2 linked regions of the Caenorhabditis elegans genome follow. The protein of the gene in region 1 purifies or fractionates together with the protein of each later gene. This does not show direct contact. Each region holds a gene or a part of one and is shown on either strand. Other genes may lie near its edges. The genes, in order: clec-64 and nop-1.

What was found.
Region 2: the proteins of clec-64 (region 1) and nop-1 fractionate together in Caenorhabditis elegans (co-fractionation; one large-scale study listed by BioGRID). This does not show direct contact.

What each region holds. Positions count from the first base shown.
Region 1 is NC_003280.10:12,890,198-12,905,519, forward strand, and holds clec-64 (VWFA domain-containing protein), read left to right. Parts: upstream 1-8,044; 5' UTR 8,045-8,092; coding exon 8,093-8,559; intron 8,560-9,331; coding exon 9,332-9,525; intron 9,526-9,586; coding exon 9,587-9,784; intron 9,785-9,844; coding exon 9,845-9,957; intron 9,958-10,019; coding exon 10,020-10,205; 3' UTR 10,206-10,242; downstream 10,243-15,322. Other genes in the region: F35C5.3 (Flocculation protein FLO11-like), read left to right, coding at 3-35, 87-152, 210-263; clec-62 (VWFA domain-containing protein), read right to left, coding at 2,955-3,140, 3,187-3,299, 3,357-3,554, 3,614-3,909, 3,957-4,060, 4,588-4,701, 4,743-4,901; clec-63 (C-type LECtin), read left to right, coding at 5,443-5,990, 6,323-6,519, 6,568-6,878, 7,011-7,190; clec-65 (C-type lectin domain-containing protein), read left to right, coding at 11,135-11,165, 11,212-11,438, 11,496-11,599, 11,652-11,935, 12,141-12,338, 12,722-12,831, 12,885-12,956, 13,008-13,100; clec-66 (C-type lectin domain-containing protein), read left to right, coding at 14,222-14,321, 14,381-14,607, 14,682-14,878, 14,926-15,116.
Region 2 is NC_003281.10:5,957,199-5,973,709, forward strand, and holds nop-1 (Pseudocleavage protein nop-1), read left to right. Parts: upstream 1-1,523; 5' UTR 1,524-1,687; intron 1,688-2,108; 5' UTR 2,109-2,109; coding exon 2,110-2,145; intron 2,146-2,193; coding exon 2,194-2,253; intron 2,254-2,301; coding exon 2,302-2,658; intron 2,659-2,705; coding exon 2,706-3,047; intron 3,048-3,104; coding exon 3,105-3,278; intron 3,279-3,326; coding exon 3,327-3,837; intron 3,838-3,886; coding exon 3,887-4,017; intron 4,018-4,066; coding exon 4,067-4,154; intron 4,155-4,210; coding exon 4,211-4,396; intron 4,397-4,443; coding exon 4,444-4,838; 3' UTR 4,839-5,124; downstream 5,125-16,511. Other genes in the region: nono-1 (RRM domain-containing protein), read right to left, coding at 494-848, 902-1,017; Protein dct-6, read left to right, coding at 9,218-9,258, 9,397-9,485, 9,531-9,817, 9,867-9,964, 10,174-10,519, 10,915-11,417, 11,576-11,698, 11,775-11,798 and 6 more; mlp-1 (Cysteine-rich protein 1), read right to left, coding at 14,525-14,582, 15,699-15,778, 16,109-16,203, 16,350-16,464. UniProt on the Caenorhabditis elegans protein: Required for formation of the pseudocleavage furrow during the first cleavage of the embryo and also mediates aster-induced furrowing during cytokinesis.

The sequences.
Region 1 (15,322 bases):
AGGGTAGCACTAATTTGGAAGCCACAACGGAGCAGGTTTGTATGCGAAAAATTCAGAACCGAACTTTTTTTTCTCGATAATTCTAGATCTGCAAACATCCGACAAAAGACAGCGAGGAAGAGAAGACTGATGAAAACAAAGACGAAAAGACGGTAAGGATTAGGATTTCGACTATAACTTCATTAAAAAATATTATATATTTTTTCAAGACAAGAGCGGGGACAAACGTGCACCGGCCAGAAAGAGAAGATATATTAAAGTGAGAGGAGGGAGACATTTCTAAATTCTAATTTCCTGTCCTTTGTCCATTTCAAATGAAACGTGTTCTTGTTCTTGGAATGATTCACATGATAAATAGTTGAAGTGCAGGCAATATTTGTGTAATTTCAGGAAGAAGATGGTCAAGCCGTGTTGGAATCAGGGACGGTAGCGATGGGGGCTTCCACAGCAACGGTGAGGAGTTTATAGAAGCTAGAGATCCTTGGACGGGAGTACTGTAATACTACTGTTGTCGGGGATGGTACTGTAGTATTACTGTAGCTATAGTGAAAGTCATCCTTCAAGAAATAATAATCTGGGTTACTGTAGTTCTCACAGTTTTTGAGAAATTTTTTGGAATCCTTAAATCTTGTGGTACCTTACGGAAATCCTCAATTTTGTGTTGCCTCCTGTAGAACTGTCATTTTTCAGGTTGCCATTATACAATCGGAACCTTCAACCTCTTCAAGTTCAAGTCCTTCTAGCTCCCGTCCTGAGGATGGAGCAACAGTTGGCAACACATTCACTCAAAGTTCAGCTGTATCAGAATCCCAAAGCACCTCTGAACGCACATCTAGATCAGTGTCTCCTGATTCTACACCAGTCAGAGTAACTACAGTAAGTCGCCACGTCACCAACTACTACAGTATCCATAACTCCACCAACTTCCACAGTAGGTGTCCTCACTACCGTAGCCACGTCCCAAACTATTCTATCCACAATTGCGTCGACTACCGTATCACCAACGGCATCAATAGCTACAGTAACCTCAGGAGCTCCAACTTCAACGTTCTCGTCAGGTCTCACGTCTTCTGCATCAAGTGGGTCACAAGTAACTACGAACTATCCTACTGTGACCCCGTCAACTCCTGCAGTTGCCACGTCATCACCTCCTACTACTACCGGACCAACTCTAGGAGAATCAACTATCACATTGGTAAACTAATATTTGGAGGCCGCTTTCTGATAACAAAATTTTCAGTCGACACTTCTTTCAACAGTGCCAACATCTCAAGACATATCGGGTGTGAGCACGGCTCCTACTACAAAAGCCACATTGGTAAGTCTTCCATTTTTGAGCAAACTCCTGCCACAACAACCTTTTTACTTTTAGCCGCCCATAACCTATCCGCCTGCTCCAACTACTACCACCATCAATTTGGTATAAACTTGATCCCTGAAGTTTAAAAATTGCTGTTAATTTCAGGCTCCTATCACCTACCCACCTATTCTCACTACTACGATTAGCCTGGTGAGTGCCCTTCTGATATTGAACTTTTATTTTATGAAACTTTTTTGGATTTCAGGAGCCAATTTTCGAACAAGTACCAGTCAACTTGCCACCGGTAACATTTTTTTATAATATTTCAAGTAAAATCCAAAAAAAAACATGTTTTGTTTCAGATTTTCAGCCAAAATCCTGCTGTACCTAGCAACGAGGAAAAGGTAGAGTTTTTTGTTGAGCAAGACCAGCCCGTATCACATTGTAAAATATAAAAAAAAATTCAGAATCCACTTTCTCCAATTTTCAATGACGTTCCATCAGCTTATCAACCATTAATTTGGTGAAAACGCAAAATTTGAAATTAGTGGCAATTGAGATCGGTAATTAATAGAGTATGAACAAATTCGTAAATGTTACTAATTTTTGAATATTTTTGAACCTGAATAATAAAGCCTGTTCAAATTGTAAAAATTTGTAGCTTTAAATGTTTTGCTTTTATTAAATCACTACATATGAGGTATTCAGGAACAGGTACAGTTCCCCTCACTTTTTTGCGCTCCATTGACAATCGCCCGCCGGACAACGCGTGGGAAAATCGTGTACTCCACACGGACAAATACATTTAGTTTTACAACTAAAACCGAGCCGCGACGCGACACGCAACGCGCCGTAAATCTACCCCAGATATGGCCGAGCCAAAATGGCCTAGTTCGGCCTAAATTCTACCATTTTAATTTATGAGGGAAGCCAGAACCCCGTGTCCCGTTTGAATTGCATATTTTCCCCCTTTTATTCAAACAGGTGAACTTTACTGCAAAACTTTCGATATTCCATTACACTATCATTTCATGATTTCCAACGCAACTGTTATGTTTATCATGAAACACACGCATCACTTTTATGGCTCTTCAACAAAATGTCTTACCTGTTTTATGATTACATAATACCGGAAGGAGAGAAAAACTGTGTCGCCGAGAGTCGTAAAAGTGTCGCAAATCCTGTTTGGGGCGTTAGTCATATTGTGGTCATAGAATACATAGGGTAACTGCTGTTCTTTTTGTAAGAGCGGCCGACACCTCGCGGGTCCTAGTTTTGAAAATTTTGGAAATTTTCGTAACCGTGATTAACTGGAGCACTGTAACACTAAACAAAAACACGGATATCTGGCTTCCCTCGTACATTGAAATGGAAGAGTTTGCCGAACTAGGCCATTTTGGTTCGGCCATAATTGGGGTAGATTTACGGCGCGTTGCGTGTCGCGTCGCGGCTCGATTTTAGTTGTGGAGTACACGACTTTCCCACGCGTTGTCCGGCGGGCGATTGTCAATGGAGCGCGAAAAATGCAAAGGAGGAAGACCAGAGCCCCGTGAAAAAAAGTAAAAATATTTTGCTTTGAATTTCATTACAGTATACATTCAATTATAACCGATTTCAAATGGAATTATGTCTGTAACTTATGTAATTAATTCCATTATTCACAATATGTAGACGTATCACACGCGGCAACTTCACAAACATATCTCTCGGACACCGTATACTGGTTGACATTCTGCCATCCCACTCTGAAAGCACTGCTGGATTGCTGATTGAGGACGGCGGTGGTCGTAGATGATTGTGTAGGGAATCCTGGATTCCATAGGCTATCGTTAAGCTGGAACTGATACAGGGATAAGAACTTTGGCAGATTATGGGAAGGGACTTACCGGCACCAACGCGTGACCCACAGGTTGTTGCCACGCATATCCTCCATTCACATAGCTCAGTCCGATGTGATACACATAGGGCTCGGGGAATGAAGTGTCGTTGCGGACAAGTTATGAAAAAAAAACAATTGATGCACCTCGAACCTTTAAAAAAATCTAATTTAACTTACTGAAAACATAGTCATGCTTCTTCTGATCATACTCGGTGACCATGTACCCCGTCTGGATCATATTCTGACACGCAAACTTTGCTGGGGTCCAGCCAGCTGTCAGAGCCACCGGGCGCAGGCAAACTCCGAATTTTGAAGAATGAGGGTCCTCGAATGTTTCTCGGTATTGAGTCCAAAGGTTTGAGCAGTAGCAGTTGGCTGAAAAAATTAGCTAACGATAACTTTTGGAAAAAAACTTTTGGAATTTTCAGTCTTACTCTGAATCATTGCAGTTTGAATTTCCTTAACCAGATTTTCATCTTCATTCGTAAAATTGAAACCCGGCGTCGCAATTTCTCCAATCAGCTTGATCATCTCTTCATCTCCAGTCTGATCAAAAGCGACAGTTGCGATGCTAACACCAGACGCCTTAAGCCGTTCAGCGATAGGCCTAGGATCCTCTTCACCTTCATCATTATAAGCGGATGCATAGACAATCACCATTTGCTTGTAGTTTTTGCGAGTGTTGTTCTTGCGACCAGCGGCCAGGAGTTGCTCAGCTGCTCCGATTCCTCTGGAAATCATGGGACTTGGAATGGTTTAAAGGTATGAAAAACTCACTTCGCTAGGAAAACATCTTCTGAAGTGCTCAGGTCATTCGGAAGAATTTGAAATACCGTGCTGAAAAGATCATCTGGCGACTGGAAGCGATTTAGATCGGCTTGCTGAAAACACTTGGTTAAAACTTAAGTTAGGTTCTGTTATGATGCTACAGACTTGCTCCATTTAAGTCCGAGCTCACACTATTGCACGTGATGTCAGGCTGTCCCATCACGGGTTGATCTTCAAAAAATGCGGGATGTTTTCCCAGGAAAATGCGACGTCAGCAAGCTGTGAAATCAGTTCTAAAGTCTGCGTCTAAAGTCCCGCATTTATGGTAGATCAACCCGAAATGGTACACTCTGGCATCACGTGATGAGCGAGGAACGGTGCTCCATCGCACACCTCACGTGGTGTCAGAGTGTCTCATTTCGGCTCGATCTACATAGATCTACAAAAAAAGCGGGAGAAGAGACGCATAGTTTTCAACTGATATCGCATGGTTAAGAACTTGCTGACGTCACTTTTTTTGGGCAAAAAATTCCCGCATTTTTTGTAGATCAAAACGTAATGGGACAGCCTGACATCACGTGCTGGTATAGGCAGGCAAAGGCCCCCAAGCCCAGGTAACATTTGCGATTCCCGCTCTTACAATTGTTGCCTCAGTGTTGTAGGTAACCAATCCAACTCGGGTTGTCCTTTTATCGATATAATTCGTCCCAATCCTCGTGCCAGCGCCAAACACTGTCACAATTTGGGCAGCCACCTGATAACAATTTCGTAATTGATTTCAGAGAGAAAACAAACCTCTGTAAGCCCCTCTTGTGTCATCGGAGCCGAGTTGTCGACTACAACGACTACGTCCAACCAGAGATTCGCCAGGTCATGACCGCAGTTTCTATCCGTGGGAGGCACCTGGCCGTAGGTGACGGAGAGCAGAAAAAGTAGAAGAAGCCCAATAAGCATCTGAAGATGAACTTTACTTAATTGATGTCACAAACAAAAATCAATTAAAAAACTACTTTGAAAATGAATGACAAATTCAGTAATGATAAGAAGCCCGCAAACGTCATTTACTAACATAAGATTGTTATAATTAATCAAAAGGTGCTGGTGACATTTTGGTAGACGATAAGTTGCGCTAAAGGCCAAATCTAATTAAAGTTCAAGTTCAAATTATAAACAAACATTCTAAAAATTTTCAGTTAAGTCGATTAGTTGGGTGGGGTTGTTTAAACTTTTCAACACGAAATTTCAATTAACAACACCCATCAGTCCTTCCTGCTATCTTTAATTCTAAAAAATTTAATAGCCATCGGTTTTGAAATGTATGCTGCACCTCCTGGTGATAAGGTGTTATCAGTGATGGGGGAGCATACGAAAATTGTCTTAAAATACGCCCCCTCCCAAGCAGTTCTCATCATTTTCTCATCGTTAGTTGGCTTCTTTTCAAGTTTTTAAACAAATTCAATTTAATATTATTATTAGTATTATTATGTTTTCAGCCATGTTCAAACTGGTGAGCTTGGCACTGACCCTTGTGGCTCTTGCCTCCGCACAAGATAGCACTACATCATGGCAAACAGGAGCAACACAAGGACCAACACCATCAACACCACCACCAACTCCAGGGGGCTCAAATGTCGACCGTGAATGCGGTGGAGACTTGACCAACCTTTGGCTTGATGTTGTCGTCGTCGTCGACAACTCCAAGGGTATGACCAATGAAGGAATCACCGAAATCGCCGCCAACATCGTCACCGTCTTCGGAAACGGAACCAGAATCGGAAACCAGTACTCCGACCCAAGATCCACCAGACTCGGACTTGTCACCTATAACGGAAGATCCACTATCGTCGCTGACTTGAACCTCCTTCAATCGATCGACGACCTCTACCAATCGGTTTTCTCTACTCTCAACCAGGTCAGCAACTCCGACGACTCTTTCCTGGCTAAAGGAATCGGTGCCGCAGAGAATGTGCTCCAATCCGGAAGAACCAATGGAGTTCGATCGAACTACAAGAGACTCGTCGTTGTCTACGCTTCAGCTTACAAGTAAGAACTTACGTAGAATACTTTCTTTCTTGTCTGTTAAAATTCATCTATTTCGTCTTGAGAGGGTTTTGATGCGATTACTAGAACTTTGAACAAATACGCATGGTCGAATCGGATTATAAATTAACCTATGCTCTTACCTTACTAAGCTTAGGCTTACAGCTTAGGTTAAATTTAAGCTTACATCAATTCCAACCAAAACGTCGTACTTCTGTTGGATCCTTCAACTCTGCGGAAACTTCGGTAAAGGGAGCATTTAGGAATTTCTGAAGATCAGACAAAAATAGAGAGCACCCAAATATTTAAAGTAATTACACACTCCTACGTTTCAGGGGAGAAGGCGAGCTCGACCCCATTCCAGTCGCCGATCGTCTCAAGTCCTCCGGAGTCGTTGTCTCCACCGTTGCCTTCGACCAGGACGGAGATGAGGCTCTTCTCGCCGGACTCACCAACATCGCCTCGCCAAACTACGCTTTCACCTCCAAGGACTTGAACTTGGTTGGAGAACTTCAAGGAGCTGCTCTTCAAAGTAAGATCCTTAGTTGTTCTACCAATACATAAAATTTCAAAATTACAGCCAACTGCTTCTGCCCGAACTTGTGGACCCAATACAAGTCGAACTTCGACGACGAGAACTCTTACAAATACGGAGTGTGCATCCGCCCCGCCACCATCTCCTCATCCTGGACCGCTGCCAAGTTCGCGTGCCAGAACCTCGCCAAGAACGGATTCCTCGCCGCCGAGTACGACGGACAGAAGCACAACTTCCTCTTCAGAGTCGCCCAGAACAACACCGCCTTCCAAGCTCCATACATCTATCACATCGGATTGAGTTATGTGAACGGAGGATGGAATTGGCAGCAACCAGCTGGATACCCACTCAAGCCAGTAAGTTTTGCCGTTGTCACGTAATGATGTAAGATGATGATAGTCGTATTGAACCTTGAAAAAGATCAAATCACTAGAAGTGATAACGAAAAATTGAACATTGTTCGGATGATAAGCCTAATCAATTTTCAGATGAGCGGCTACTCCAAATGGAACCCATCCTATCCAAAGTCCTTCACCAGCAACATCGGAGTCGTTGAGCAGCAATTCAGCTCGGATCTCACTGTTGGATGGCAGAACATCAACGCATACAGTGTTGCTGAGTACTACATGTGCGAAGTCGCTTCCTGTGATACCGACAAGTATTGTTAATTTAGCTACACTAATTTTTTTTGTAAGGTTCCTGTTGCGGTATAAAGGCTTTAATGATGAATTTTTTTTTTAATTTGCTTTCACATTAAAATAATTTGTCGAATGGAAAAAATCAAGAAATATAATACTGTTTAAATAATTTCTGAAGTGTAGTAAAACTTATATTGTAGATTCATCCCCTCACAGTTGTGTTGTCCGCAAATCAAACTACAAAATACAAAGAAGACAGACTGAAAGTTGTGTTCAAGTTTCAATAGTTTACCGAACTAGGCCATTTTGGCTCGGACATATCTGGGGTAGATTTACGGCGCGTCGCGGCTCGGTTTTAGTTGTAAAGCTGAATGCATTTGTCCGTGTAGAGTACACGACTATCCCACCCGTTGTCCGGCTTGTCAATGGAGCGAGAAAAATGTAATGAGGAAGGCCAGAACCCCGTTAAAAAATCAACATTTTCTCAAAAATATAAATGTTAAAAGCTCTTAACCTTTCACTTTCACCTACCCAAAACTAAAATTAATTACAAATTCGATTGCATCGAAAATCACTAAATTTCGTTATCATTGAGCAAATAATGTGTGCACACCCGTGTGGAAATGCTAATCCCTCGAAAAAAAAAACTCATAAAAGATTATTTTCAGAATATCATCATTTCCTTACTTTTCCACATTCAAGTTTACTTTTTTCCATATTGTTCAGGCAGGTAGGCATGTTTTGGTTTCTCATGAAAAACAGGCACGCACACATGCCTATTTATCTGCCTGCATGCCTGCTTTTTGTCAATTTTCTGTTGTTTGGCGTTTTTTTGAAAATTGGTTTTCAAACTTACTGCAATTATTTTGAATGCATTTTTACAGTTTTTCGGTATATGAAGCTGAAGCTATGAAGCTCCAAAATTTCCAGCAATGTTACTAAACCTACTTGCCATTTTCACTGCTTTTGCAACAACCCAAGCTTCAACTGATCGCAACTGTGGAAGTAACTGGAATAACCTTTGGCTAGACATCGTTATAGTCGTGGATAACTCGAAAGGCATGACAAACGAAGGAATCACAGAAGTTGCAGCCAATATTGCGACCACATTTGCAAGTGGCCCAAGAATTGGAACGGACTATTCTGATCCAAGATCTACCAGGCTTAGCATACTCACTTATAATAGTGAGGCTACAGTTGTCGCTGACTTGAATCAGTTTCAGTCGGCCGATGACGTCTATCAGACGCTTTTCTCGTTTCTCAATGAGGTCAGTGACTCTGATGATTCGTTCCTGGCGAAAGGGCTTGGGATGGCTGAGAGTGTTCTTTACAATGGAAGGATGAATGGAGTTAGAGAGAATTATAATCGATTGGTTGTGGTTTATGCTTCAGCTTACAGGTAGAAGCTTAGATTTGTTTTTTGAAAGTTAAACTAAAATTAGTTTATATACAATTTCTTGCCAATATTTGGAAAAGAAAAACTCATAAACGTTTCAAACGGTATGTAGTTTGAATCAGGGTTTGCAGTTCGGCAAATCGGCAACTTGCCGGTTTGCCGGAACTTTTCCATTCCGGCAATCTGCATGTTTTCAAATTGCCGGAAAATATATCATTATCATTTTCAGCAAATTTTTTTGTTCACAAATTCGATAAATTGGCAAATTGCCGGAAGTTTGCCGGAAATGTTTAGAGCGATTTTTTTTAAGATGAAAACACATAAAACTCTGCCTTTTTGAAATTTTACCCCGTTTTCTTAATATATTTTTATAGAATTTGCATTCTACTCAAAATAGATGTAGAAACATTCATAGGATACGTACATTTTTGCCGATTAAAATTGAAATTCTGAAATTTCCAAAAAAAAAATGTGCAAGACCACAATTTGCCCGAAATTTTTATTCCGGAAATTTGCCGATTTGCCGGAAATTCGCTGATTTGCCGGAAATATTTATTCCGGAAATTTGCCGATTTGCCGGAAATTTGCTGATTTGCGATTTTCCGGAAATTTGCTGAAAATTTGCCGATTTGCCGGAAATTTTTATTCCGGTAAATTTGCCGATTCGCAGGAAATTTTCATTCCGAAAGTTTGCCGGTTTGACAAAAATTCCAACTCCGGCAATTTGATCCGATTTGCCGGAAAAGTCGTTTGCCGAAAAAAAAAGTTTTTCCAGAGAAGATGGAGAAGACCCCCTAAACATTGCAAAACGTCTGAGATCATCTGGAGTAGCGATCGCAACCGTCGCTTTTGACCCAGATGGAGATGGGCTCCTACTGAGCAAGCTCTCAAAAATCGCATCACCAAATATGTCATTCAAGTCTAGAGATCCCAATTTGGTCGGCAAAATTCAGGCAGCCGCTCTTCAGAGTACGTTTTCTCTTTCTTAGTGGTGGAATTTTACAAAAAATTTAAAATGGTTTGATTTCAGCAAACTGTTTCTGTCCAAGAACTTGGATTCAATACAGGCCAAGCTATGACGACGAGAAGTCTTATAAATTTGGAATTTGCATCCGAGCCGAAACTATAACTGCATCATGGGCAAGTGCAAAGATCGCTTGCCAGAATAGCATTAAATATGGTTACCTTGTAACCGAGTTTGATGATCGGAAGCATGATTTTTTGTTCAGTGAGTCATTCATACAAGTTTTCCAGTGCCAAAGACTTTGCACAATATTTAGAATTCCAGGAATAGCTCTGAACAATGCTGAATTCACTGAACCTTACGCTTATCACACCGGGTTGAGCTATGTCAACGGAGCATGGAGATGGCAGCAGCCAGAAGGACACCCACTCATTTTGGTATAACAGCTTTAGCTTTATTTTTCCTCTCTGTCTGGCAACTCAATATACTGTAATTCCAGCAAAATGGAAGTTACTCGCATTGGAATCCAACATATCCGAACACCCCATTCACCAACACCGTTGTCGTTAATCATCAGCATAACTCGAATCTAGACGTCGGATGGCAAAACATCAATGGATACCGAGAAAATGAGAATTATATGTGTGAAGTTGCATCATGTGATACTGATAAATATTGTGATTGAATTTATTGTACATATATGTATGTATTTTGAATTAGTTTGCTTATCGAAGTTTACCAATTTTCAGAAAATCGTACTTAGGTAGTATAGAGTATCGAAATCTGAGACTTTGCTGTTTTGGAGCCAAAATTACCCAAAAAACCGAATTTCGTATTGAAACGTTTTGAAAATTTCTTTTAAAAAAGTTATGGCGGTTCAAAGTTCTAGAAAAAAGGATTATTTTCAGCTAAAATAACATTGTTTGGAACTTAATTTTTGATTCAATTGTCACTCTTTAATAGATATTGTGGTCTTTTACTAGGAGTTTATTCGTTGATTTAAGTCCTTTTTCGGCCAGTGGGGCACAAACAAAAATTACATTTTTGTGTCTCACAGACCTTGAATGTACTCAAATCAACGAATAAACTCCTAATAAAAGAACATAATATTTATTAAACAGTTTAAATTAAATATGCTGTGACACCGAGAAGTTGACAAAAATTTTGATTTTACAATTAGCTAAAAAACTAGCCTTTTTTTCATAATTTTGAACCTCCATAACTTTTTTTTTCGAGGAATTTTCGAAACGTCTCATTACGAAATTCGGTAGTTTTGGGTCATTTTGGGTCTAAAAAAACAAAGTCTCAAATTTCGGTACTCCACCTTTAATGGTGTTCGGGACCTCAATATGTGCCTATTTTGTATAAAATCCCACTAATGTTTCGTAAAACAATATCCGAATCAATGCCGACACAGAAATATTTTTCTTCATAACTATAGGGAATATACATAACAGTTAATTTGAAGACACATGCCTTTTAATTTATCAGAAAGTCGAACCACACAATGATGTCAAACTAATACTCATTATCAAATGTCAATAATGAGACTGATTGCATTGCAAAAAAGTTTAAAAGACGATCGAAACTGCTTCTTCATTTTTCAGCAGCGCCATGTGGAAAGTGCTTGTGTTGCTCTGTCTGGGTAAGATTTTCTAAGGACTGTTTTTTACGGGTCAATATACTTTCAGCAGCATCGCCAACTCTATCCGTCAGTGACAGACGATGCGGCACGAACGCCAACAAACTTTGGCTGGATGTGGTATTTGTCATTGACAACTGCAAAATAGGAAGTATGAACCTTGTCTATCAGACGATTTCCAGTCTGTTCAGCAAGCAACTGCAAATTGGAACTGGGTATGATGACCCGAGAAGTACCCGAGTCGGATTTATCACCTATAACTGGAATGCGACTGATGTGAGTTTCAAGTTATAGTTAATGTACGAGTGAGACACTAAAAATGAAATGTTTCAGGTCGCAGACTTCTACAAACTTCAATCTTGGGCCGACTTGAACAGTCAGATTCAGCGCCTCCAATACACTCCACAATCAAGCTCCCCAGCTAGCAGAATGGATACGTAAGTGGTGGCAGAGTTTTGGAATCTAAAAATCTAGGCCATCTGATTTCAGAGGTCTTAACGCCGCAATCGGAATGATTGATGCGACCGCGGGATTTCGTGACAATTACAAGAAAATTGTAATTGTATTTACATCGGTTCATGGATCTTATAAAAGCAATCAACCTCGTGATGTGTCGAAAATTCTTAAAAGCCGCGGGATCCCGGTGGTGACTGTGAATACTGGGTCAAGTTCCGATACTCAGGCGTATCTCAAGCAGATTGCCAGCGACAATATGAGCTTCGCAATTGCCGACGGAAATGTTACCCAAGAGATTTTGAAAGCAATGACGGATAGTAAGTTTGAAAGGTCCAGCTCACGTGGTGCCAAAGTGTCCCATTTTGGTTTGATCTTCGAGAAATGACAGACTTTTCAACTTATTTCGCATGGTTAAGAGTGTGCTGACGTCACATTTTTCTGGAAGGAAAAATTCCCGCATTTATCGTAGATCAAACCGCAACGAGGCAGCCTTACACCACGTAACTTTTCTCCGTTATTCAGCAAACTGCTTCTGCGAACAAGGTTGGGTCCAATACAATTATCCATGGAATAACCTTCAAAATCGCTACGGAACTTGCCTTTACACTGACACAACCGATTATTCCAGTAGAGATGGCGCAAAAAGCAAATGTCGACAATATAGTCCGAAGAGTTATTTGGTGAATGAGTTGGATCAACAGAAGCGGGATTTCAATTTCAGTGAATTTTCGTGACTTTTTTTTTGAAATAATACGGGAACACAAAATTCGGAGAATTCGTATTGCACAACATATTTGACGCGCAAAATATCTCGTAGCAAAAACTACAGTAATCCTTTAAATGAATACTGTAGCGCTTGTGTCGATTTACGCGATTCTGAATTTTCTGTAGTATTTCGTTTTTTCAAAATTATTTTTGGGTTTTTCAAAAAATATTTTTTCGATTAATGAATGATTTCCGATTACCGTAAATCGACACAAGCGCTACAGTAGTTCTTCTAAAGAATTACGGTAGTTTTCGCTACGAGATATTTTGCGCGTCAAATATGTTGCGCAATACACATTCTCAGAATTTCGTGTTCCCCTAATAAATATGAATTTAAGATTTGGTCAATTCCGACTCCACTAAACCGGTCAACGCATTTTACAATGGTCTATTAAATCTCAATGGTAACTGGTATTGGGATCAGCCAAACGATAGATCACCGATTCCGGTACTCACTTCTGTGTATTTTTTTTGCTTGAAAACTATAAACTATATTTCTAGCTCGACCCCAACTCTGGAGCTCCACCAACTCGCAACGCTTGTGTTGCTGATATGAAGTATTCAGATGGAACTGTAAGGCTAACTTTTTTAGAACAAGGGCTTGAGAAAGACTTGGATTTTCAGACCGCGTGGACTCCGGTGAGCTGTGCGAATAACTTCCGATTCATCTGTGAGCAGGTCGCTTGTGATACTGATAATTATTGTGATGGTGTTTGAAAAATTGTGGAGAAAATATAAAGTTATTATTAATCGCATTGCTTTTAAATTTCTGAATATTTAGCACATTGAAAATTAAATTATTAAGGACAATAAATATCATCGAGCCTATACCATTCATTTTTCTGAGATAATGTACTTATCAAAACCAAATAAACCGAGATATAACTTTTCAAAGAAATGTAGTCGTGCGAAATCAGGGGTGGGCGGCAATTGCCGTTCGGCAAATTGGCAACTTGCCTGCTTGCCGATTTGCCGGAAATTTTTAATTCCGGCAATTTGCCTGCTTGCCGATTTGCCGGAAATTTTTAATTCCGGCAATTTGCCTGCTTGCCGATTTGCCGGAAATTTTTAATACCGGTAAGTCGCCGAATTGCCGGTTTGCCGATTTGCCGGAAATTTTCATTTTCGGCAAATTGCCGAATTGCCGATTCGCCGGATATCAGATTTGCTGGAAATATTTAGAGGGATCTTTTTATAAGACAAAAGCATTTAAAACTGTGTCTTTTTGAAATTTAAAATAAAAAAAAATCAATTTTTCCGAAAATTTTCGGCTAATTGCCGTTTTTCCGGCAAATTCGGGAAAGCGGCAATTTGCCGGTTTGCCGCTTTGCCGGAAATTTTTAATTCCGGCAATTTGCCGATTTGCCGATTTGCCGGAAATTTTCTATTCTGGCAATTATAAAGCGATGTCAAAATTTGCCGATATTATTAAAAAATTAGAAAAAATACAAAGTTTTATTTCAAAAAAAATTAGATTGAATCCACTTTGGCAAAAAAAATTTTTTCTATAAATCCAGCAAAACACCTAAAAATGTAGGTGCTCGTAAATTAGTAGAACATTACTTTTCTTTTCTTTTTTTTGTAAAATAGGATATCTATCATACTTTCAAGTACATGAATTCAATTAAAATTTATATGTACTCCAGCAGGAGTACATATTAAAAAAAAAAGATTTTTGTGATCAAACTACCAGAGAACCGCTAATCAGTATTTTTAAATGACCTTTACGTTAAAACATCAATCTATACAGACACCCCGTCCAAAAGCGCAAAACCTTTTCGTTAGTGAGTAATAATCATCATGTTGCCTCCAATCGTCATTTGTTTCTCTTATCAGCAATGGAAATTGCGAATAAAAGAGCCTGGCGTGAATATATTTCGTATGAAATTATTCGTCTGCAAATGCATCAGATTCTAACATTATTTTTGCTGGCATTGGGTGGGTTTTTCAAAAAAAAAAATATGAAGAGAAAACATTTAATTTTCCAAGTTTTCCAGCCGCCTCACCATCCCAAGCAGTCACCGATCGATCATGCGGATCAGACTTGAGCCGTCTCTGGCTGGATATTGTATTCGTGGTGGACAACTCTAAAAATATGAACCTGTATAATGTATATAACACAATCTCAAACTTGTTCAATCCATTCGTGCAAATCGGAACTGGGTATGATGACCCGAGAAGTACCCGAGTCGGATTTATCACCTATAACTGGAATGCGACTGATGTGAGTTTAATAAAGTCACAGTTAATTTGCAAGGTGTTCAACAGGAGGAAAAGTACCGTAACTAGATATTTCAGGTAGCAGACTTCTACAAGTTGCAATCCTACTCCGATCTAAGCAGTCAAATTCAAGCGCTCAGTGTTACACCACTCTCCCGCGCCGATGAGACCTATATTGATACTGGACTTCAAGCGGCTATTAATATGATCAATGCTACAGGAGGACTTCGAGACAACTATAAAAAGGTTGTAGTACTATTCACCTCCAAGTATAAGTATGTTACCTAGAGTATCCTATCTAGTAGTCTATGTACTATTTCAGCTACTATCATACCTATCCAGAAGACTTGACGGATTACCTAAAGTCAACTGGAGTTACGATTATCACTGTAAACACTGGTGGGGATAGTTATACAACTCAGAGTCTTCGTGATAAAATTGCAAGCAAGGGAATGGCTTTTGCTATGTCTGATGGAAATACTACAGCGGAGTTGCAGAAGGCGGTTTTGGCAAGTGAGTTGATGTGTGATCGCAATGGAATTCGGCAAATCGGCAATTTGCCGGTTTGCCGATTTGCCGGAAATTTTCAATCCCGGCAAATTGCAGGTTCGCCGATTTGCCGGAAATTTTCAATCCCGGCAAATTGCAGGTTTGCCGATTTGCCGGAAATTTTCAATTCCGGCAAATTGTCGACTTGCCGTTTGCCGGCTATCAGATTT
Region 2 (16,511 bases), on another chromosome or scaffold:
GAAAAAATAAAGTTATAGGACCTCCAGAACCTGCTGGTTGAAAGTAACAAAATTATTTCTTTCAACAGGAGACTATTTGAATTAAAGAGATGGATTTTCTACAATAATTGACGTAGATGCAAACTTCTGTGGACCGTAGAAATCTGAAAACGCGTTGCCGAGGTAAACCAAGCACAGAAAATATTTTTACAATTAGTTCACAAGTTTTGATATTTTTAAAAACACGAGTCCACAGGAAGAAGTTACGATTGAGATATACATTGGGTTGAGTTGCAATTTGAAGTTTAGAAACAGCGAGTAAATACACATAGAGATGGTGGAGTCCACTAATTTTGAGTTTACGAGAATGAGTCCTTCAGCATTTGATAGTATTTGAGTACCCAATGAGTCCGATTTAAATGTGTACTTTTGGCAACCTCGGCTTCGCGGCGATTAGTGAAAATAGATAGGAGAGGTGTAAATGCAACTTTAAAAAATATTTAAATAAACTAACCAGTCTTAAGAACGCAAATCCTTTTCCAGATAAATAGCACTCAGCAATATCTCCATGTGGAGAGAAAAGTTCTTTTAGCTCGGTTTCTTTAACTTCATTTGGCAAATTTCCGACGAAAAGCCGACATCTTCCAGTGAACTTCTTTTTTGGAACTTCATCCATCAGTTGGGACTCAGTGAACGCTGCTCCATTGAAAGAAGTTCCACCACCACCACTTCTTCCACCACCACCACCGCTTCTGTGTCCTCCATTGTTGTCGTACGGCTGTTGAGCCGGAGCAATTCCACGTTCGGCTCCACCGCGGTTGCCTCCACCTCCGCCACCACTGCGAGCTGCATTGTTGGAATTTCCACGCCTGAAAATATAAATTGTACAGAATACCAACTAAATATGTAAAGAAAAACTTACTTTTCATCTCCTCCGCGATTTTCCCTCCCTGGTTTGCGATCGTTTTCCGCTTTTGCAACTCTTGATGAATCATCACGACCATTTGAACGCCTGTTGTCTCTCCTTGCACCACTCATCTTTTAGAAGGTTTTTTGTTATTCTCCTTCTGCAAAATTAAAATAAATAGTTTATTAAAAGAAAGAGATTAGTGAAAAATGAACGGATCGATAGAAAAGGGTGCACACGCGGCTGAACGCAGCGCGGAGAGACGCGTCGCGTCTTCCATACTCTGTCTTTGAGTGGTTAGAGAAAGTAGAGAGGGCACAGAGAAAAAGGAGATACCGGAAAGAAAACGAACGCGTCGAATTAAAATAAAAAAAACATTCACAGAAGCTGAATGATTTAAACATTTATGACTGCAATCGGGTTTATTAATCGATGTTTTTTTTAATTAAAAACCCGGTCAAAATTGCAAAAATAAACTAGAAAACAACTATATTCAAGAAAATAAAAGCCGCAAAAAATTTGTACAAATTCGAATTAATTCATGATGAAAACTTTCAAGGCGCACAGAGTTCATCAAAGCAAGTGTCCTGCCACGACAAGAAAGTTAAAGGAAATTTAATTAATTCAGTCGACGGGTCTCGTTACGATTACCGTAGTAAAACTGTTTTTGTGTTTCGCAATTTTCTCACGTTTCTCACGTTATTGTGTTCCATCGCTTCTAGCAAAAACGGGCTCAAATTTTCGGAGTCGAAAATAGGCAACGACGTCGAACACGTTCGATTTACACGCTTTAGAAGAAGTGTAAGTTTTTAATTTTCAAAACAAGAGCCACTATCTGTGAGAGATTGCTAATTGTAAATTAAATTGTTGTTCCATCCAATAATTCAATCGTTTGCATATTCATAATTTTTTCTCGGCTTGTTCAAAATTAAAATTAGTTTAAAAAATACCTTTTAATCAAAAGATTCAAATAGTCTCGTCTTTGGAAAAGTGGTTGAATTTTCGAACCGAACCGAACTCTCGACCGAAAAAACAAACTTATTATCTTACTTACTAACTTGTTAGCAATACTCACAATACGTCGCTTGTTCTCATTCTTATGGCTGTGAGTAAGTGTGGACTAGCCATTGCGCTGGTTGGCCTAGCAGCTGCGGTATTGTCCCGCTTACCGCGTCATTCAAATAAAAAAGTGTTCTCCTTCAATTATCGACCCATTTTTCAGCATGTCGGCGCCGAAGAAACGAAAAAGCGACATTCACGTAAGTTTGAATTTAAATTATTTACAAATTAATTGATGTATTTTGCAGAGCGATGATCGTGATCATGCAGATCACCAAACGAAAAAGGAGAAACATTGGTTCGAGGAGGTATTTATTAATCCCTTTAGATGTATTATTAACTCGTTTTTTTTTCAGAAATCTGAACAGAATGGCGAGAACCGAAGATCTTCAATTTTCAAAGGATTTCTCAAGAAGGTGAAGAGCTCCACTACTTTGAAGAGCACCAACAAATCTGCCTCATCTTCAAAAATGGACACCATAGCGAATGAGACGCATCTTTCAATCACCAGTGAATCAAGCATCACTTCCGTGGAATCCTGTCACAGTGCACAGTTTCCTAACGTCGCGAAGAATGCGATGCTTCGTACTCTTGTCAATAGGGATTCATTCACACCTGTTCCACCTCCAGACGGTGAAAGTGTGACTTTCATATTGCCAGAGATAGGCTCATCGAAACTGGAATTCACTTCAAAGATGGATGATGCGATTTCGGTACGAGAAAAGCATAGCAAAATCCACTTCGCAAACATTTATTTCAGATTGAATCTCGAATGTCTATTGGATCTTGCCACACTATCGATGAAGACTCTGCTTCCATTGGATCCACCTCTGTTTTTTGTACTCCAAGTCGCAATCCATTGATGAGAAATGGATTACGTATGTCGACTAGAAGTGTTCCTGAAAACCAAGATGATATGCCTCCAGCACTATTCCGATCTCTTTGCAATAGCGCTGTTCGTCGAGTTCCCACTTCAAAATCTGAAGGTGGTGGTACTCCGATGCGGCGTTCCATGCGGATGTCCATTCAGAAACGGAACTTGTCTTCGAAAAACATGGAAGATGTACCAGAAGAAGAAGCATTGACGGTCTCTAATAGTTCGGTAAGAATAAAATTATATTGAAATTACATTATTTATTCGTTACCACTTTTTTTTCAGATTCGTGTTGATGCTCCAATTGCTGAAGAAGACGAAGAAGTGTTCGGGGCGGCTAAGGAATATTTTGACAACAATGTCACATCACACAATGATTCAGCAGATGAAGGGACATGCTCAATGTCACGACTTTCGACGACGTCCGAAAGAGCTTCTGGTGTTGGAGGATCTAGCATTGTGAGTTTTTTCTGATATCGAAGCGTCTTTGACGAGTGTAATGTATAGTTTCAGGGACGCCGGAGCTCAATTTTCCGAAAAATCTTCCCAGGAAAAAGTGAATCGAAGGATCGGAGAATGAGTGACAACAACCAAGCGTCGGAGCAGTATATGGACAAAAAATCAAGACGGGCATCTGTAGTCTCTTTCAACGAGTTCACATCTGTCAGCGGACTCTCTGTAAATGATTCTGCGAGCAAAAATCCGAAAGACTTGACGGAATCACCTCAGCAACCAAAGCTTCGAAAGAAAACGGCATCTTCTTCTAATCTGTCGCAACGTATTTCTTCAGTTTTCCGAATGGGCTCAAATTCGACAGTGAAATTGAATGAGTATGTTCCCAGTCCAATCGTTTCTCAATCGTCGCGTCGCAATACGCTCACTGGGAATTCGTCGATTTCATCTGGAGTCGGAAGTATAGCCAGTGGAACATCAGATCAAGGATACGGGACGATTGGGTCTAGATCCGGTCAAAGCATATCAAGATGTGGATCGAGGCGTGATGATGAAGGCAAAAAAGGTAATCCCAAATGATTCAAATATCCTGTTTATAGAAAATGTATTTCCAGAACGCACTCGACGCCTTCTGGACCGTATTATCATTTCCGATGTTCCAGCAGGAGAGCTTCTGAAATTAAAAATTGAACAAGTCAAAAAGCAGAAGCAGTTGGAAATGGATGAGTTGTTTGAAACTCAACTCGTAAGTTGTATCCGAGTTGTATGAATAAATTCAATACAATTTTTTCCAGACTGAATCGTCGTCCTCCGACACTTCTCAAAGCGAGAATTTGCAGTTTGATGTCGTGGCTGTTGATATCAAGGCAGATGGATCTCCATGTAAGCCAACATTTTATTGCATAACGATCCTCATATTCTAATTTGACATATTTCAGTTTCCACTACTGCTGCCACATTCATGGACAGTGAACTTTCGAAAAGGGTGAAAGAGGAGATCGTGTCAAATTATCGACCTGATCGCTGCGGATCAATCACCGAATACGAACCGGAGCTCGTGTTTGTGATGCCTGAGCAGCCACAAGCGAGCTTGAAAAGTCTTAATGACTCGGTTTCCTCTAATGGTAAATATTCTCAATTGAATGTTGATTTCAATTTTTTTGAATTTCAGCTGACATCAACCTTGATCACCTTCGGAATGTTAGAAGTGGCTTGTGCAAGTCGATTGAAGAATGGAAAAGGATCACAAAAATGCGAGAATCATCTACAATGCTCATTTATCCAATGTTCTGCCAATCAGAAGAGGAATGGGATTCAAAAGGAACCATCGACGCAATATTCCTGATGCTCGATGGAATATTAATGAATACAAAACGATGGATGCCGAACGGAAAATGTATTCTCGCTGGGGTGACTCCAAATAATGTCATCCTTCTACGCAACAAGTTCGATGAACTCAAACTGTCGGTTGCAATCTCCGAATCTGATGGGCCGGCAAGTTCAAACGATGATTTCGACACTCAATCCACAGCGAGCACTTCAACTGTGTTTGGAGCTAAAATTTGAGCTGTGAAATGTGTGTCTTGTTGTTAAATGTATTATCGATCTCGTCAATTTTCAAAATTTCTTTCAATTCATGTTACCTTTCTCTTTCCTCCTCAAAACGGTTGATATATTTTTTTGTGTTTTCATAGCAAGTTTTATTATCTAAAAATTAAGCTCTACACCTTTTCATCCTTGCATTTTTCTCTTCACTTTTTGAGGATTACTGTGAATAGAATGCCCCTGATGTTTCTATCCTCTTTCCCTCGATTTGTTCGTATTTTTTTGTAATAAAGTGTGTGAAGGCTTACTATTTTTTTTTGAGGAATTTTTGATTTTCATGAAACGTCCTTCATTTTTGGAGTTTTGCAAAAACGAGGTGAATGAATTGATTTTTTCAATTAAAAAAAAAGAAAATATTTCATCTCTCAACTTTTCCATCCGATATTCCAATTCGGATGGACCGGTTAGTTGTTGCTCAATGGTTGATCAATCGATCATTTGAGATAACTCTGCGTCTCTTAATCTTCTATACTATTTTATTATCTTTGTCTCAATTGATAAAAAGAGAAACAAGTGTCTAATGAGAGAAAGAAATATTTTTGTGTCCATCGGCTCTTCTTTTCTCATCCACTTCAATTCGATGTTTGTCCACCTGTTGTGAGTGTACCACGTGGAAGTCCGAATTCCACGAATTTAATTTTATCAACGGAATATTTGAATTTCAAAAATGTGAGCACACGAAAAAAGTGCAGAAGATAAATTGAAAAAGAGATAGGTAATCTGATATCATAAGTTTCATCTCTTCTCACTTATTTCCTTTGCATTTATCACTTCAAGTTCATTTTATCACCCTTCTCTCTTATTATTTGTTTTCTTTATCCTGGTTTAACCGAGATTTGTTTTATGGGATTCTCGCTGATTATGAAGAAAATTACGGGTTTTTTTGCGCCAAAAATACGGTGACGCGATAGATTTTAGTTGAATACAAAAATGCGCAGATCTTTAAATAAAAATAAAAAATTTTTTATCAAAAAAGTATGTCAAATTGAAGCAAATTTCGCAATAACAGAAGTTTGAAGTTACAGTACTCTTTAAATTTAAGTTTAAAGGGTACTGTAACTTCAAACTTCTGTTATTGCGGACTTTGCATCAAATTCACGCAGTTTTTTGGTAAAAATATAATTAAAACTCAAATATAAGAATAACAAGTTTTAACTTTAACAAATCAAGAGAAAAATTTTTTATCAAAGAAAATTCCGCAGCAACGAAAGTTTTTAATGACAGTAATCTTTAATGGCGCGCACATTTTTTGTTAAATACGAAAATTCTCTTATTTAACAAAAACGTGTCATGTCGAGATCGGGTACCGTACTTTTGGCACAAAATTCCGCGTCTTAGTATATCTTTGGGCTTTTTCAATATGTTCTCTGCGTACTTAGTTTTAGTTTTCACTGATTCCTCAGACAACCACGTTGGGGGTCTAATTAGAAAAGAAGCACTTCTGATTAGAAAATAGGTATTTCTAATAATAAAATCCCTGATCCTCATTAAACCCATCAATCAATTCAAACTACACAAATAATATGAAAGATGCAAATTATGTAAATGTCAATCTAATTCATTTCATTCCACGAACACATACAAATACACTCCAGTTGTTTTATGTGTAATCTTTTCGGGAATGAGATTCTCCATCTGGCGGAAGCTTATAAAAACGAATCCTTTCAATTTCACCTTTTGTATACAAAAAACTGACTGACTATGAGAGAAAGAATAGAAAGCGGGCGAATCTAAAGGACCCCATTTAAAATAAATGACCCCATGTAAAATTGTATGAAAGCTCATTCCTTTGATATTCAGTCATTTTATTGTTAGCACTAAAGGTGATTTTAAACCGTTTCCCCCACTGGCGCTACTCCAGCACCTTTAAGCCTTCCACGCAACTATTTGTCTTTTAATATCTTTCACGACAAAGTAGACTATCATCACGGCAATTTAGACATACCTTGTAGGCACGCAGGCAGGCAGAGGACGCCTACCACATATCTTAATGCATTTGGTCACACTTTCATAGTGAACAATTTTGAGAGGTTTTGTTCAAACTACAGTAACCCTGCAATTTAAAGGCACATATGTCTTTGTGGTATGACCGATGATCTTTGCCATCAATTGACATCTTCATCTTCTGTACCTTTAAAATCCCATTTCTTCTGACCATCCCATCAATCAGTCACCGACAAATACGGTCATGCCTATCCTTAGTGATTCTGATTCTATTCTCCGATAACCCTGGTCATAAATCCCCACTAAACTTTCTCAAAACCTTCCGTCCATTCCCCTTCACCCTCTATCTATCTCTATTTTTTTTGTTGCGACCTGATAGTCACTGTGATAACCAACAGTTCTCGCTCTCTTTCACCCCTCTCAACCTCTCACCGATCTCAAAAAAATTGTCAATTACATTGCAAATATGACTGCCTAGAAACTCTTCAAGAGTGCACACTATTTTCAACTGCTTCTCCATAATTTTTGCATCTCTTCTCGACACCCATCGTCTGCATCGAAAATCAATTGTGAACACGTCCATACACACGTGTCTGCGGGTCTCTGATCCTACTACTCTCTCCTCCCGTGCTTCGTGTTCTTCTTCCCGCCGGGAGCTCAAAAACGCCGCCGCCGCCGCTGTTCCTCTAACTCTCTTGCATCGACGGGTGCTTTTCGTTGTTTCTTATTGTTCTTGCTCATTACGTGTTTTGCCCCTCTTCTTCAATCGTTCCAAAGCCTAGACTCTCTCTTCTCTTTGTTCATCTCATTTTTTATTTTTGTTGCTGTTCCCGCAGTCTGTTATTGTTTCCAATATCTAGTGAAACTTGGCAGGCCAACCACAATAACATATTAATCTAAACTGAGTACTGTAGTTTCAGACTTTTAGCATTGTCTTGAAATTTCTTTAGTTTGGAGGAGTTTTGAACATTTAACTAGACTAGGCGTGGTGAGCAGGTACGTCTTCAAGCCTACGCTCCTGCCTACCGCCTATTTTCTGTTTTGAGTGTTAATATGTGTAAACTTACCTCCGTTTTAATTTTTGGAAATTGAAACAAAGCTATATTCAGATGTACTCCAGTAGGCAGGCCTAACGGCAGGAGGCTGATAGAAATTTGTTGTGTGTGTATTAAAAATAACCCGCCGCGAGCCACTTTCAAACTTATCTGTGTGATGTTCCCAATATATTGAAAAAATATCAATTTAAACTATTTCGAATATTGCGTTTGATTTGAAACAACTGGATAAAACAATCTCAAATTAAACATCTAATACCATGAATGAAAAATAATTCCTTTTGAACTAGTACATACACATTACTACACTCTATTATTTGTACAGCTTAACCATCAGGTATTGCTCGCTATCAAACAAACATTTGTTCGATTTTCGGAAATGGTTTACACATTCTTCTTCCAAATGGTTAACCTTGTAGAAGTACTTTGACAGAATTTTAATCTTTTCAATAGATCTTTCCAATTGAATTCTTTTTTGAAGATAACATCAACAATCAATTAGTTAGTTATGTCTTCATTATTGTAAACTTTATGTTGTTTGTCATATTTTGAACACATTTTGCAAAGTAGCCACGTTACTTAAAAATATTTGCAGCTCCTGAGTACTTCCAATTACATACCTCATCAATTGAGGCGCTCATTAAAACTTTTTGAAATCAATTTAAAAAAAAATTTCTCCTGAAAAACACCCTCGTAAAATCTTTCTGTACTGACAGATTTAAAAATTAAAATAATTATTTAAAAAAAAATTGAATTTGAGCAGTAGGGGAACGCTTTCATTAGGGTCAAGACATGTGCATGTAAGTTTGGGCCTACGTGTAGTGATTTTTTAAAAGAAACTTTTGCTATTGGAACTTGCAAGTTTGTTAAATTTGCCGCTACTTTTTTATGACTATTTAGTTGTTTGCCTATTAGAATATAAAAGTTGTTTAACTAAAAAAAACGGTAAACACTTATTCACACCAATTGATAAAACGAATGGGAGTGATATGTTGTCAGTGATAAGAATAGAATGTGTTCAGAGAGAGAAATGGTTGTACATTCAAACCTTCTTCACTTTTTGTTTCAGTTCTTCAAGTTTCCAAGTTTTCCCCATCGAAATTAGTCAGAAGCCAGACGATACACTTTTTGCATTCCTCACTGTATAAGTGTGTTATGTCCGTAACTGTTCCGATCACTCATCGTAATTCTTTTCGACACCATGTCTCTGGCGTATTATGTTGTAGTATTTAATATCCCACCGATTCTCTTATTCTCTTCGTTCATCAGAAACTAATTGCGTTGCTATTACTTTTCTCAAAACTTTATTACTAAAATCTAATATCTGCCATGATTCAGGGTATGATTGAATCTACAACTTCGCATCAAGATTTTCAACAACGGTGAGTTTATTAATTGAAAATAGTTTAACTAATTGAATATTTGAAATCTGATTCCAAGAATTACACAACCTACTTTAAAATAGAAATTTGTGATATGTCCTAGGATTTATTTCAATATAAGGTTAAATAATTGTACAGATCCATGACTGGGTATGCCCTGGAGCATCCATCGTACAGGATTAGAGGCGCACTTTTTAGGCATCAAGATGATGGGAGGCTTCTGTCAGGTACATTGAATTTCTATTAAAATCCAAATTTACCAAATAATCTAGGTTGCGGCGGAGACATTGAAGTAATTCATGCACTAGAACTGGAACGATCACAACATACATGTCTCCCTGTCAGAGTTACAAATGTCGTGGTGTTCGGATCAAATGACGTCGTCCGACTAATTCAACCAATTGAAGGAACCGAAGATGTCATTGTCAATGGAGACTACCACGTGTCAATTGTGCAATCTGTTGAATTATTCGAGAGTTCGACGGTTTCCAAGAGCAGAATTCTGAAACTACCTGGAAAGATTATTGCTGTAAATGCAGAGAAGCATTCAAACACTGAGGTTAGAAATAAGGGAATAAACAGTAAAAATGAGAAAGAAATATTTTCAGCTTCTTCTAGTATTTCTTCTAGAGACCGGCATCTTCCATTATTCATTTTGTGCTCATACATCAACACACTTTCAATGTATTCAAGCTTTCCGATGCAAGTGAGTTCTTAGAATTTTAAAAATTGTAAAGAGTATCTTTCGATCCTACAGTAACCTAGCGGCAACCGAATTTCTAAGCACTAACCTGATATCGAATTAATCTCATGCAATCTATGTACTATCCCTGAGATATCAGGGGCTTGTTGAAAATTTAATCTCACACATATCCAGGGACCAAGATTAATCTATTCAAATGCTAATTTTTTCAGTCGCCCAATTACCAGTGGACTTCTCTGGAGGGACTCGGGACTTCTCCACGTGGCATATTACGATGGTTTTGTACGGGTTGGAGTGGTTCATGAGCAGTACGATGATATGCTTCTAGTGAAGAGAGTCGCAGTGAATCGAAACAATTTAAGCGTTCTTTTGGATGTTGTTTTTGAAGAAATTGGAAGAATTCAAAAATTCGAGGATACTGAAAAACAACGGAGAGAAGATATGCTTACTACTTCAAAGAGTTTGTCTGATAAGTTAGTGGCAGAGGAAGAAGTTGTCGAAGGAGACACTACGAACGACGATTTTGCCAAATTGAAGATTGAGTTCAAGAATCAATCTGTAGGTTTTTAATTAATACTAAAATATTTATGAAACAATCCCAACTTTGCTTACAATCACTTTCTTGTTTTCAATCTCGAAAAATTGCAACACCATTTTTCGAACGGGTGACGTCATACTAATTTCGAAGTATGCAAAATGCGTGACGTCATGCTTCACAAAAAGAAGTTGCGATGTGTTGGAACAACGAACTACAAACCAAAAAATGAGGGAAAATGTCCCGTTCCCGTGAAAATTTGAAAAACGGGACAACGGGAATTCCCGTTCCCGTGAAAATTTGAAAAACGGGACAACGGGAATTCCCGTTCCCGGGAAATTTTTAAAAACGGGAAAACGGGAAAAACGGGAAACGGGAATTGACACCCTTGATTACAAATCACAAAGCATAATTTCAGATTCGCTGTGAACGGGTCTCACAACGTTTGACTTCTCTCCGAAAACTGATCACAATAATAAAATCCGCACTTGACATGAATGATCAAATTGAGCAAATGATTAGTCTTCTGGTGGATGAGCTGAGTGAGCTTGAGAAACTTGAACAGTTGTGCAAAGAAGTTGAAAGAACTGGAAATCAGAATCTTATTGGGAAAAGCTGGATTGCTGTGGAAGAGAAACAAATGGTAGTGGAAGAACTTATTGCAAAAGTGAATAGTGATCAAATCAAGAAACATTCGGATGTATGGGAACAGAAAATTGATCAGATAATCGATCAATTAAATGGTTGCTCAGAAGCAGCAAAGGATATGAGATTGATTATTAGTCAGAATATATTTGAGCATCGAGGTGACAAAAAGGATGTATTCACTCATTTTGTGTTGGATGCGCAGAGCCGAGATATCACTTTATATTGTCTTTCGGGTCTTACAACGATGGCCATTTATCCACGCAAGGGGAAACGGTAAGACTTTCAAATTATTTTGGAAAGTATCAAAGTGTGAAAAATTAATTAAAATTGCCACAATAAAAATAAAATAAATTCCGAAAACTATTTTTAAACTATACATAATGTAATTTTTTTTTTTCAAAGTTTACTCTAAAATTTTCCATAATTTTCAGAGTGGCCTCCATTTCTTTGGATGCATCATTTGCCACGTGTCTCACTGCGGCCTGTGCAATGAAATCCGCTGAAGGTGTCTACGTAGCAGATCAGAATAATGTTTTCCCGACGTATTTCTACAGGTAAAACTTGTTTCAGCAATTATAAAAACTAATTTTCTGCGCGCAAAATGAAAAAAACCCCAATTTAAAATTACAGAAACCGCCCAAAAGCTGGAAAAGGGTAGGAACGTACTATACTTGAACTAAACTTTTATCGCCAACTTTTCCCTCCACCCACTTCTATCATTCAGTTTACCTCCCATAAGCATGATTTTCCAGTATTTATTTTGTTTTATAATAAGTTTTCAAAGTTTCAAACAAACGCCAAAACATATCTTTTTAATTTTCATGATTTCCCAAACAATAATTTAACGCCTTATTTTCGAGCAACTAATATTATAGTTATATTTTTCAGAGAAAAGAGGTACTTGGATGCTGGAAATCAACTTCAACTTCCCACTTTCGACAGTATTTCTTCGATTCTCGTTGAACCACATCAAATGGTGAGCAATTTTTTGAGACTTGATTCCAAACTTTTTTACTGAAAACTTGGAATCTGGCAGCCTAGATCTCCATGATTGTGGTCTTATGGGAAAATTATCAATTCATAGCATAATTGTTGTCTAGTTTTGATAATTTTGAAATCTTGATACTGAAACATTTCTGAATACTTTTAAGTGAACCGAGAAGCTGACAAATGTGGCAACTTCCTAAAATTAGAAATACCAATTCCCATGAATGTTTTTCTCAGATTTTGGGAAGTGTAACTGGAGGTCTTCTACATTTATCATTTGATTTTGCATCAAATTATGAACATTTTGTTGTGGCAAGCAGTATTTTGGCTCATCCTATTTCGTCAGGATCCGTAAATTGTATCAAATTATTGGCAACTGGGGAATCCCTTCTAGCACTTCATTGCACTGACACAGAAATTGTTGTTTCGGAAAAAGATCAAGAGAGATGGCACAGAGTTACACACCATACAGGTGGTGCACATGCAATTGCAGTTACTCCATTTTCAGTTGATGAGAGAGGTGCATTTGCAGTTGTTGCAAGTGATACTTTTGTTCGATTGAAGGTTTTGCAGTATGCTGAAGGTTCGTTTTAAAGTTGATTTTTCATAGTTGATTTTTATTAAACTTTCCTTTTTTCTCATTAGAAGAAGCATATAAAAATTTGAAATCAACCATAAAACCGTTTAAACTTCAAAATCTACTAACAATAATTTTAAAAGTAAAAAGTAATCTTGTCGTTATTTTTGTTTTAAATAGCTGTTATTAATACTATGTTTAAATGTACTATGTATTATATCTGAAAAACCCTTTTCCATTTTATAAACGATCAAGTTGTACTTTTGATTCCAGAAAGCCTTATCGGTCTTCACGATCTTGGCGAATCACGAGCTGAAGATGAGAATGGACATCCGATAGAAGTACTAAATGTGTCTCTGGATCCAAGTATGCAGTACCGTCAACTTCCATGTAAACTTCGTTATGCTGTTGGATTTGCTGATAAGGCTATTCGAACATACGTGGCACTCCTCACTGGACAACACGATTTTAATGTTCAGGAGAAGTTCATCGCTCAAATTGAGCCTCTTTTTAATGTTCAAAATGTGGGTAATTCTTTTGAATTTTTGAGACATTTAGTCTTGATAATTAGGCAATTTTATTGTCAATTTTCAGATGATCTGCTTTCACGGTCGACCAATGGGATGCTATGTAAGTTGTGCTAAAACTCTTCAAATCTGGAATGATCTTGATCGTCATCAACAAAAGAAACTAAAAAGTGAAAGAATGCAATTATTGAAACTATCATCTTCGGTAACCTCAATGGAAAGAGCTGAAGGATATCTACTTCTTGGATTTGCTGATGATCGTCTTTCAATTTATGAAGAAAAAGGAAATGGAGCTGTTGATTTAGTGGGGACTGTTGATGATTGGCACAAGGGATTGAATGATAGAATTGTTATGAGTGAGAATTTAATGTAGAAATAAAATAAGAAAAAGTAATGTTCAGGTCTACGAACAAGAGCATCAAAGACTTCATGTGGCACAAGATTATTTATTCATTCATTGACAGCTCATCACATTGTTATTCATACAGTTCTTGTCACAGCCTCTAAAATTGAACAGGTTGGTTACTATTTTTAGAGAAATTATATTAATATCTATTTTGCAGTAAATACAAAATTCATGGTTAAAAAATATTTTTAAAACTTACGATTTGGAAGAAACGTTTTCATGCTAACTGATTTTATTTTATACGAAATTCATTTGAATATGTGTGTGTGTTTTCAAATTAAAAAAAAATTTCAGCACGACTTCATAGTTGCTCACGAACACTCAATGAGCCAGCCAATCGGATTCGAGTTTGTCTCATACAAGTATTTTGAATTTTTAGTTTACGGTCGTGGAATTTCCAACGAAAAACTTTCAATTGAAGATCGTAAGAGAATGGATAATTTCAGAGATTTTGAATTTAATTGAAAATTTAATTTAATTTCGCTCAATTACACAATTTCAGTTTTTAGCTTTTTTGGTTAATTTTTGCATTTTGCATCGGGTCATTGTGTGGGATCACAAACGTGTATTTAAGAAAATTCTAATCGCATTTTGAGTTCAGTTGTGATAATTTTCAGTGCCTTTTTTTAATTTTTTATTTGTTTTGTTTTTCTGAAATAAAATTATTATTTTTTGAAATTTTAACAATTTGAAGCTTAACAATATTTATTAGTAGGAACGAAAGTACCAGGGGTATTCAATTATTTGAAAATGTCATTATTAGAGTAATAATAATAATAATAATAGTAATAATTGAGAAATGTCCAATTAAAAAGTTGAAAATTTTAGCAATTGAGGAATATTATAGAAAATTGAATAAAAATTGAAAAGTGAAAGAGAAAGTTCAGCTATGGGAAGGATTGATTGGTGCGGTGAATGCCTCGGCTGTCATAGGACGATTGCTGAAATTTTGGAATTTTAATTTTAAATATTATCAGGAAATATGAAAATAAAACATTGTTACGGTATTAAAAACCTGAAAAGTTAGGTAATAATAAAAGTAAAACTTTGAGCGTTGATCATGATCATTTTAGTCGGTGTTTGTACAGTACTCAATACATCATATTTGTCGCCCAAAGTGATTTAAAGATCCTTTGAAATACCGTATTCTTGTTAATATTTTTCTTATTTCAAGACAAAAATGTTAGGATTGATGCAACGCCGGGTTAGTTGTTCGTTAGGTGAACGTATGTGAAAAATATGAAAGTTCCACAAACAAAAGTAAAAATATAAGGGTTTCTCACATTTAATTGTGTTGTTTTGAAAAAAAATGGGTTTCGGGTCCTTCCACGATCAAGACTTTTTAGCTACCGTAGCCGCGAGTAGTGTAGATTTTTATTATTTTATTTCACAATCTTACACCGATATTAACTATATTTTTCGTACTTCAGGTTTTTTTTGGAGAGTTTTAATATACCTAGTTTATATATTGGAAATAAAAAACTATTCAAAACCTAAAAAAGAGCATTTTGCGAGATATTCGCACCTATCGTAGTTGAAAAGTTTCGCTCGTGCCAGGACCCGAGGTCATGGTTGCCATTATTAAAGTATAGTGTCGATAAATTAATTTTAGTTAATTTTTCTAAAAGTTAGTAACTGCAAAACCAATAACACCACAACTATCCGACACCTTATCCCCTGACGAGTTTTTGAGATTGATAACAATGTTTTTCTTTCGATTACGTCTGTTTGGATCCACCGAACTTTTCTCCGGAATCAGTTGTCAAGCATCCAGCACCAAGTCCAAATCCGACTCCCTTTGGTCCGAATTTGCGTCCGTGGCACTGTTTGCAGTAGAGTTCTGCCTCATGCGGAGCAACAGTGCACGAGTCGAGAAGCTTGTTGCACATGTCTGTGAGAGAAAGAGGGATTCATTGAGTAAGAGAGATTTAGAGAAAAAGAAATAGAAATGGCTCTGTGATTGAAGAAATGGTTAGTACATTGAGCAGGGAATTTGCGGAGGAATTAACGTTATTAAAACACATAAACATGTTTTAAAACATGAAACATTGACTAACGTCATATCAACTTCAGTATTTCCAAATTGTTCTCCAGTATCCATTGTCAATGATCCGGCGCCGATTCCGAAACCGATTCCCTGTAATTATAATTGAATTTAGCCAGCTTTATGCTATTTTTTCTTTTTTTCATAAAATCTTCCGAAAATTGCAAAAAATGTATTTCAAAATTTCGAGACTTGCCAAATCTCTATTCTAACTAATATGTTTGAAATGTTGAGCAACGTTTAATTTAAATCTCGAAAAGTCTTGTGGCTCTTCGATTTTCTCCAATTAACATTTTAATTGTGATGTAAAATGCGTTAATATAACACGACATCTGAGTTCATTTCAAAGTGTAAAAAAATATGCGGTAGGCAGGCCTAGGCCTAACTATTTTAGCTTTAATTTCCAATTAATAAATTGCATACCTTTGGCCCATATCGCCTGCAATGACACTGCTTACAGAAGAGTTGTGCTTGATGTTCACAGCATGACATTGAATCCAATAATTTGTTACACATACCTGAATAGGACAAAAACACATTAAAAGACAAGACGAATACAAGGACGAGTTAACATGAAGCATTTGGGGGGAATAGGGAATCACAGAACCATTATTTCTTATTCACTAAGAGATTCTATTAAATTATTAAATTCTTTAAAACTCACTGCACTTGAAGCAGAACTTGTGCCATTTGTATCCGCCGGCGGACATCTCCTCTGCGGCGTACACACTTTTGCCGCACTTCGGGCATTTTGGGTGCTCCACAGGCTTGAATGGCATTCTGGAATTAATTTATCTTAAAGTTGGGAAACATCAAAGGTGAAAAC